2 linked regions of the Daphnia pulex genome follow. The protein of the gene in region 2 interacts with the protein of the main gene of each other region in a pairwise test. Links are inferred from orthologs where the notes say so. Each region holds a gene or a part of one and is shown on either strand. Other genes may lie near its edges. The genes, in order: E3 ubiquitin-protein ligase MARCHF5-like and ubiquitin-conjugating enzyme E2 W-like.

What was found.
Region 1: the proteins of ubiquitin-conjugating enzyme E2 W-like (region 2) and E3 ubiquitin-protein ligase MARCHF5-like interact in binary tests that used the Homo sapiens proteins (3 or more experiments, as listed by UniProt). The link is inferred for Daphnia pulex from reciprocal best matches to the Homo sapiens genes UBE2W and MARCHF5.

Annotation. Positions count from the first base shown.
Region 1 is NC_060025.1:257,749-261,429, forward strand, and holds E3 ubiquitin-protein ligase MARCHF5-like, read right to left. Parts: upstream 2,215-3,681; 5' UTR 2,122-2,214; intron 1,908-2,121; exon of another isoform or gene 1,894-1,907; 5' UTR 1,835-1,893; coding exon 1,770-1,834; intron 1,713-1,769; coding exon 1,504-1,712; intron 1,447-1,503; coding exon 953-1,446; intron 886-952; coding exon 733-885; 3' UTR 556-732; downstream 1-555. Other genes in the region: 2-aminoethanethiol dioxygenase-like, read left to right, coding at 1-26, 92-537. UniProt on the Homo sapiens protein: Mitochondrial E3 ubiquitin-protein ligase that plays a crucial role in the control of mitochondrial morphology by acting as a positive regulator of mitochondrial fission and as an important regulator of immune response.
Region 2 is NC_060027.1:2,995,315-2,999,621, forward strand, and holds ubiquitin-conjugating enzyme E2 W-like, read right to left. Parts: upstream 2,705-4,307; 5' UTR 2,168-2,704; coding exon 2,120-2,167; intron 2,053-2,119; coding exon 1,961-2,052; intron 1,884-1,960; coding exon 1,781-1,883; intron 1,708-1,780; coding exon 1,656-1,707; intron 1,577-1,655; coding exon 1,473-1,576; intron 1,405-1,472; coding exon 1,329-1,404; intron 1,251-1,328; coding exon 1,237-1,250; 3' UTR 524-1,236; downstream 1-523. UniProt on the Homo sapiens protein: Accepts ubiquitin from the E1 complex and catalyzes its covalent attachment to other proteins.

The sequences.
Region 1 (3,681 bases), on a different chromosome or scaffold from region 2:
TTCTATTCCCCTGCATGATCATGTTGGTAACTGATTCAGATGTAAATTTAAAGAAAACTTTAATTATTGTTGAAATGATGATTGATTAAAGGTATGTACGGAATCTTGAAAGTGTTGTATGGGAGCCTTAATGTACAAAGCTACTCTCCAATTGATCTCCCTGGACAAACCAACAGCTCTATAGTGCACCAACCTCAGTACCTAAAGGCGAGAAGATTTCCCATCTCCTGTATTAATGAGAAGGATAGCCCTGCTGTGCTTTCACCTTCTGAACACAACCTGCACACAATTTGGACTGTTGGAGGTCCTGCATCTTTTCTGGATATTTTGGCACCTCCATATGATCCAAGTGGCACTCTGAATGGTGGGAAGGTTAGAGATTGCTACTACTACTCAGATGTTGCAGGAGAAGATGGAATGCCATCTAATTCTGAAATCAGATTGCTGAAAAAGACTTCTTGTCCACCTTCTTTCTGGTGTGACTCTTTGACCTACTGTGGACCTGACATCAAACACCTACAGCATGAATTAAACTAATTAAGGTAGCAACACAGGTTAAAGTTCCAACAAGTTTTATTTGCAGCAGCATCTCAACAGAAACAGTTTCAGTACTGTAACTAATGTTTAAAAAAAAATGTATCAATGTGTTCAAATACACAAACTGATCTTAACCCACCCAAATCAAGATTAATATATACACTTTCATGTAATCCCAAAATTCATACTTTCTAATTACGGATTAGTATTACTGCTTGTTTTTATTTCTTTTCCGTCGGATGGCCTTTTGGCGAAGTCCAGCACACGGCGTTGATATTGCCGAATAAGAATTTGTTGCTTGTAATAGATTTTCAAGGCTCCTTTGAGCATCAAAAAAGCAATACCACCCTGGAGAGACAAGAATTACTATAAATAGGTATAAAACTAAAATTAAAAAATATAGCACATCACTTACAAAAAAAGTTTTCTTTAGATTGGAGTGAACAGGATGAAATAGCAATTTTCCAAAGAGAACAGCCATTGATGGAAATATTAATGCTCCACATAACACCCTGGTAGCAGAAACCGGATCAGAAAACGGTGGCTCTGTACCCTGTGTATGGGGCCGCACAGAATCTGATGCAATTTGAAAAGTGGGTAGTAAATGTTTCACAATGGGCACCCGGGGAACATTCTTATTCAGAAAACCCAAGAGAGCTTCTTCCCAACGAACAAGCCTTCCCAGTATAAGCATGATAGGAACTGTTGGTAGGCCGATCAAAAGAAAAAGTGGATCTGACTGTTCCATTAATGCAAGTCCTTCTTTGGCCCCAACCGCTTGCATGATAGTAAGCGCCCCATAGGTCACAGCAGTCCAATAGATAGAACCAATGACAACACCAGCTGCTATAAATGGGCACACTCTGTAAATAATGCGGTCAGCAATATCAAGAACTAAGATGAGTTTTCCTAAAAACGAAATCACATTAAACAGACTAAACATCAACAATGTAAAAAGAAAGTTACCAATTGGAGGGAAAACTATAACATATTGGGTGTTGCATTGTGGACAGTGAACCCTTTCCAATGAATTGCCTTTCTGCTTTTCGTCAACCCAACGTTGGAGGCAACTTTCATGAACCCATCTTGTTGTCCCACTACATTGGCATGGTTGCACCCACACAGCCGTAAGATCGTCCTCATCCGTAGCAAAACAAACCCAGCAATATCTTTTGCTAAAAAAAAAACAACCAAGTTATTGCAAATTCAAGTTTTTAATTGCTTTCACTTACTTATCATCGTGTAAATCTTCTCGGCGATTCGTTTCAATGACGGGTTCTTCTGTCTCAGACTCCATGATATTTCAGTTATTTTTCTTTCTGTTGTTTATCACAATATAAAATGCTACAGGGACATCTAGGAGCCGTTACAGAAACCAGTTGGAATAAAACGTCATAAGTGTTGGGTGTTGGCATCCCCCCCCATGAGTTGCGAGGTAGGAAAAAAAATTCTAATCAAATTATGCAGTCTAACTTCTAATCAAATACATAATAATGAAATAATAAGTAAGCAAAAGGTAAACTACGAAATGGCAATCTGACGCAGTGGTTTACACAGGTTTACACGACGACGACATTAGCTTACTCGAGAATGGGGAGGGGAAAAGACACATAACATAGTTTTTTATTATTAGTTAGATTTTTTCAAAAAGTATGGTTGACCCCGAGGAGGAAGCGATGAATGAAACCAGAGTCACAGATTACTCTGATGAAACGATGACGCAATTTATTTAAATGTGTTTAGGGATTTAGCAATTGAGTCCTAAAAGTGCTGCTGGTATTTCCGAGGGGATGTTGAGGAGGTGGGGTTCTCATAAGTCATCAGATCATCATCATTTCTCGCAGTCGGCCACACGTTTTTCCACTCGTTCGTAGCTTCATAGTTAATTGGTTCATTGTTCTATTTTTTCATTCCGTTCATTCTTCTGTTGAGTGCCGCTGACTTTTGTAAGGATGGTTGTAAGTATAGGAGTAGGTACGTTTGTCGCGTTTTCTTGTTCTGAGCATCCGTCAAGTGATGAATGAATGATTCACAGATTACCCCAACTAATGTTATCTTAGTTTTGTTACGATTCTGTTCACAATTATCGGCCTTCATTTAGTAATTTATTTTCTTGTTCGTGCTTTTAAACTCGATCAACTTTATCTGCGCTGAATGACGATCGTGAACGAGCTCTGACATAAAGTTTTCTTGTGATCAAGTCTCCCTTGTCATTTACCATAATAACTGAGAAGTTTCCAATGCTGCCACAATAGTTTTCTACTTAATACTTATAATGGAATGTTTTTAAACTTTTCTTTCACTTTGTTTGTAAGATTGCTTATTGTTGAGGCATAATAGACTTGCTTCAAGTATTAGGGTTTGTTCAACAAACTTTCTCGTTTAGATACATGTACCGTTGTCTAAGTTTCTATTTGAATGTCCATTGTGTTGGTCTTTACAGGGAGGAGTGGTCTATGTTTCAGAATTGGACTACTGGGCAAAGTTCTGCAGTTTGTTATACCATGTACCAAATGGTGAAGACATTGAAATTGAGATGCTCATTTTTCTTGCTTTTATTCACCCAATCAAAATTATAATTTTATTTTTTTGTTCTTGTCTCATCAGAAGCTAAAGTATTCTTTGTCATTACCTGGCTGAAATCATCTTTGCTATCCAGCAGTTCTACACTTTCTAGTTTGGAATATGAAAAGGTATAAATATTGTAACTCCAATTATATTTAGGCAACAAATGAATTCATATCAATTTTTATGTTTTCTAGATGCATTGTTTGGATCTGGTAGACATGACTTTAAAAAAAGTAAACAAAGAATAATACATCAACGTAAATTTTTATTGGTCAACAAGTAGTACTTGGATATTAAATCACGAGCTCACAAATCATGTGCTTGCATGGCACGAATTCAGTACAACCTGAAGACTCAACTAGGACTTCCAGGTAATTATTTTCGTTGCCCAATGGCGTTACAGATAGTTCTATGGTCGCTGGATATATGTGCGTCATAATTATTAAAACACGATTTTTTTTTAAATTTTCATTGAAAGTAAAACGTTGTTTATTCAGGCTTCACCATCTCTCATTGTGGGCTTTTACGGCAGTAGTCAACGCTCGAGTACAACGGCTTCAATAGTTTCCCACGTCG
Region 2 (4,307 bases):
TTTCTTCGTTTCTCCTTAATGAATTTTAAAAAATGCAGTTCGGATTTTTGTAATTATTATTTTTTAAAAAAGGATAAAATAGCTCGGCGGATTTGTTTCTTCTCAGTGTGTACACGTCCGACGGAATACCGTGCAGCGCTCAATCATTTTAGATTTCCTCCTTTCTGATTTTATTAATTGATTTAAAAAAAAAGAAAAAACGAAAAAAAAAAGTTAAATTGTTTTTTTTTTTTTAAACCTTTCCCTTTTTATTACCCAGGAGAATTTGTTTGTCAAAAAACCTTTCTTCCTCTCCTTTTCTTCAGCTCATATCCGCTATATATACACTCCTCATATGACTGGCTATTTTAACATTAACATGAGTCATGGTGTGTGTGTGTATAATACGATCATTAATTGACGAATGACATTTTTTTTCAAGTCGCCCACCTTAATTAATCTCTACGTTTACCCAAAAGTATGTTTTGTCACGCCCTTCATTGCTGTTGTTATAGCGGAGTCTTAAAAAAAAGCTGTCGGAAACGAACTTTAATCTCTTCTTCTATTTCTTTCGAAACAAAAACATCACACAAGACACACACACACACACATCAAAAAATGTTCTCGAAAAGGATAATAAAACAGAAAAAGTCGATTACAAAATTTGCGCCCTACTACCCTCTGATTTTGAAACCATTTCAGAAATATACAATTCATTATTTACTTGGCTAATTCAAATCGTTTAGTTTTTTTGTCTTCCAAACGTGAAATGAAAAAGAATTTGAGTATAATAGTTGAAACAAATTTTATACGAGCGAAATATTTTTCGTTTAACATTTAAAGAATGGGTGGGGGTAAGATAAAACACAGTAGAAGGGGGGAAAAAGGCTTCGTAGATTTGATGTCGATTAAAAGTCGAAAAATCAAACGCCAAAAGTGTGAAACATTACACATCTGTAGTTTTTCGTGAATATTGCTACAAGTCAAAAATTGGAGAGTATCAACCGCATATTAATCAAGACAGAGAGGAACTGTTTCGTTATGCGAGGAAGTAGTAGGTCAATATCGGGAATGGGAAATCAACGCGATCGATTCGGAAGGGTGGAAAATTTTGACAACTGAAAAAAGAAAATCCATTTTTGTTTTCTTTCGTATTTTTTTGGCGACTAGATTGTCTCTGACGCGAGCATCGCCAGCGTGAAACAGGTTCTTTTTCTTTTCGTAGCGGGAATCGAGGGGGAGAGATATCAACCCGTTTTACACTTCTTCGTCTGGCAAATTGGGAAATGATTTATGGTTAAAAAAGATTAATAATAACTCGGGTTTAGGCGGTAGCCATTCAAACTCACCGTGGTACCACCATTTGGTTTTCTTTGGGTTCTTGCTGCACGTTTTCACGTACATACTGTCATCCGGTGGTCTCTTCTAACGGGTCAATAGTCGTGAATGAGTGATGGGTGAGAAAGATACTTTTTCACACAATTGAAACTGACCTTTTCTTTACAAGAGCTGAGCATTGAGATAATGGAAACACAGACCGAAAAAATGGACAGAGCCGGTGACCAGTCATCGGTCAATATACTGAGGCAGATGTGGCCTGAATAACCGAAAAGGTTGGAGAAAAGAGCCGCGGTTAAATTATTGACCATCTTTTAAGGGTTTCACGCTAGACAGACCGTTGCTGTAGACGTGCGGATGGACAGGGATCTCCGATCCGACGAAAACAACCTAAAGAGAGTGGTCTCAAATGAGTAAAACATACGTGTTGGTTTTGGTCAATTCGTTGACTGAAAGGTGTTACCTCGGGCGAATCGAAAGGGTACTTTGGTCCGAAACGAAACTGTAACTGAAACTGCTCCCCTTCGTAAATCGTTCCTTGAGCTCCATTAATACTCAACACCAACCTGGAAGTGAGATTTGAAAAAAATAAAGTGAAAAAAGTGTGATGCACTTGTCCAACAAAATGTCAAGTCAATCTTACAAGTCCAGGCTCTGGCCCACAGATTCTCCATCGATCACAACACCAGGAGGAGGTTCCTTGATCAAGGAGACAAGCTCCTTTTGCAGCCTTTTCTGTAATATTAAAAAAAAATTGAGTTTTATTTAGATACTGATCTATTCGGCAACAATCAGGGTTAACCTCTTGTCTCTGAAGAACACACGATTGAGTCAGGGATTTGTCACTCATATTCGCAGTGGGCACCAATAATGTGAGACACAACCACCAGCAAGTAATGCGAAAACTATACTCACCGATCCAAGAACTAACTTGCCACTTATGTAGCTTTCTCCTTTTATAGAAAGGAAATGTCACCAGTTTGACAGTACGCTGCAGGGTTTCACTTCACGTGAACCGTGCAAAGCCACACCAGACATGTGCCAAACTGACATGTGCCAATAAGTCAGAACTCTCTTCTAGGGTTTCATTTTCTCAGGTGACTCAATTGGGAAGAATAAGGAAGCAGTTGGTTGAATCTGTGCCATAACCGATTAGCAAGCTTCAAGAACACACACCATCTCCAGAGCAGTATAGCTATTTTTACCGCTAAAAAGACTTCCGAAACCTCAAACCGAGTCAAGAATATTACTTAAAAGAAAAGTTTTACTAGCAAAATGTCAAGGACAAGTCCAAATAATGATGAGATTGAAGGACAAGCTGACATGGCAACCGAAGGTTCCTCGAGTTTCATTTTCTACCAACTACGACTAGATAATTGCAGGCGGCTCTTTAACGTTTCGCCATTCTGAATACGTTCACACTTATTAAACTGAAGCATTTTTTTATTTAATATTTACCTGAGCAGGAGAACATGTGAAACGCGAGTGATGTGATGACATGTTTTGTTTTCTTCCTCCAAAAACGTCTGGGTATTTCGCAGACGCAGTTGTGCGGAACGCTGTGAATTGCGGAAAGCAGATGCGGAAGTTGCGAGTTCAACGACCGTGGAAACTGCCTGTAATAAACATTTATCGTCGTTTATTTCTTTTTACGTCGCAAATAAGATTGCCCTTCATCTCTGATTCAGCGAGTTTCTTTCTTTTCCAGTTCACACGCAGACAAAAAACAAACGTCAATAAGTTGGGGGATTCCAACGTTCACTGAACTTTTGTGGTTCGTGAGCGGAAACAATAACTACGCAAACGGGCCAAGTTGCGTCTTCCTTAACCTCCTTTGTCGTGCAATGTCACTGCTAACTGTCTAATTTGTGTCCCGCGTCAGCTAATTGGGACTGGGTACTGTACATCTCCTATATAACCTTAAGGCAGAAAGTTATCGATTGATGACATATGGTATTATAACAAAACTGAGACGTTGATGTTTTTTTAAAAAGGTGGGAGCCCTTATCTTTTACAAGTGACAACAAAAGCGTAACGGTAGTATTGTTTTCAGTTGGAGATATTTATGGCAGTTGCGAATCCTTTAAGGACTAACAAGATATAGTGACAACAGCAGTGTCATATTGACGTAACACATTATGCAATAGGTGTGAGTGACGCAAGTCGAGCGAATCGACGTTGTTTGATCGATTCTTCATTGTCTCGGCGACAGTAGTGGGAAACAACGAAGTATCAACATTTTTTTTTATTTATTTCGCAAATTAATTAAATAATTTTCTCCAGGCGAGGCTCGAACTCGCGACCTCGGCATTACTTTCAATCTTTATTTTGATGTTAGTTTTGCATATATTACTGTCTATAAGTACCATGCGCTAACCAACTGCGCCACTGGAGATGTTTTGAGAGGACCCAAAACTTAATTCAATTAATATTTTTCTGCAAACATTTGCCATTTTTGTTTAGTCAGATTGCATAATGCATTCTGATACACTGCGGATGTCTTATAACACGGTTTCTATTATGGCGCAAATAAAAAGTTTCCAACACAATTAAAAATGTACATTCTCTTGATTATCTCCGAGCACGACAGATGACATGGCTCAATCGTGTAGGGCATGAGCTTTCAGTTAAATAGCTCATATGTGCCGAGATCGAATCCGATAGAATTGCAAATGATGAAAAATTACTTCCAACTCACGACGGTCTTCTGAAAATACCGTGACGATAAGAGTATTCAATTTCTGAGGCAATTAAGGTTCAATTCAACATAAAAATAATTATTTAATTCGACTGTACATTCATTTAAAAAATCTCAGGATCGATATTACGCTAAGAATTAATTTGAAGTTATAGTCATTTTGAAAAAGGTTTGATTAGTCAAACTACAAACACTATTATCGATATCTAGCGATGGAGTTAGGTATAACAAACACTGCTCCAATCAATAAACCGCAATACACACATTTTGGATAACGAATATCAACATTTTT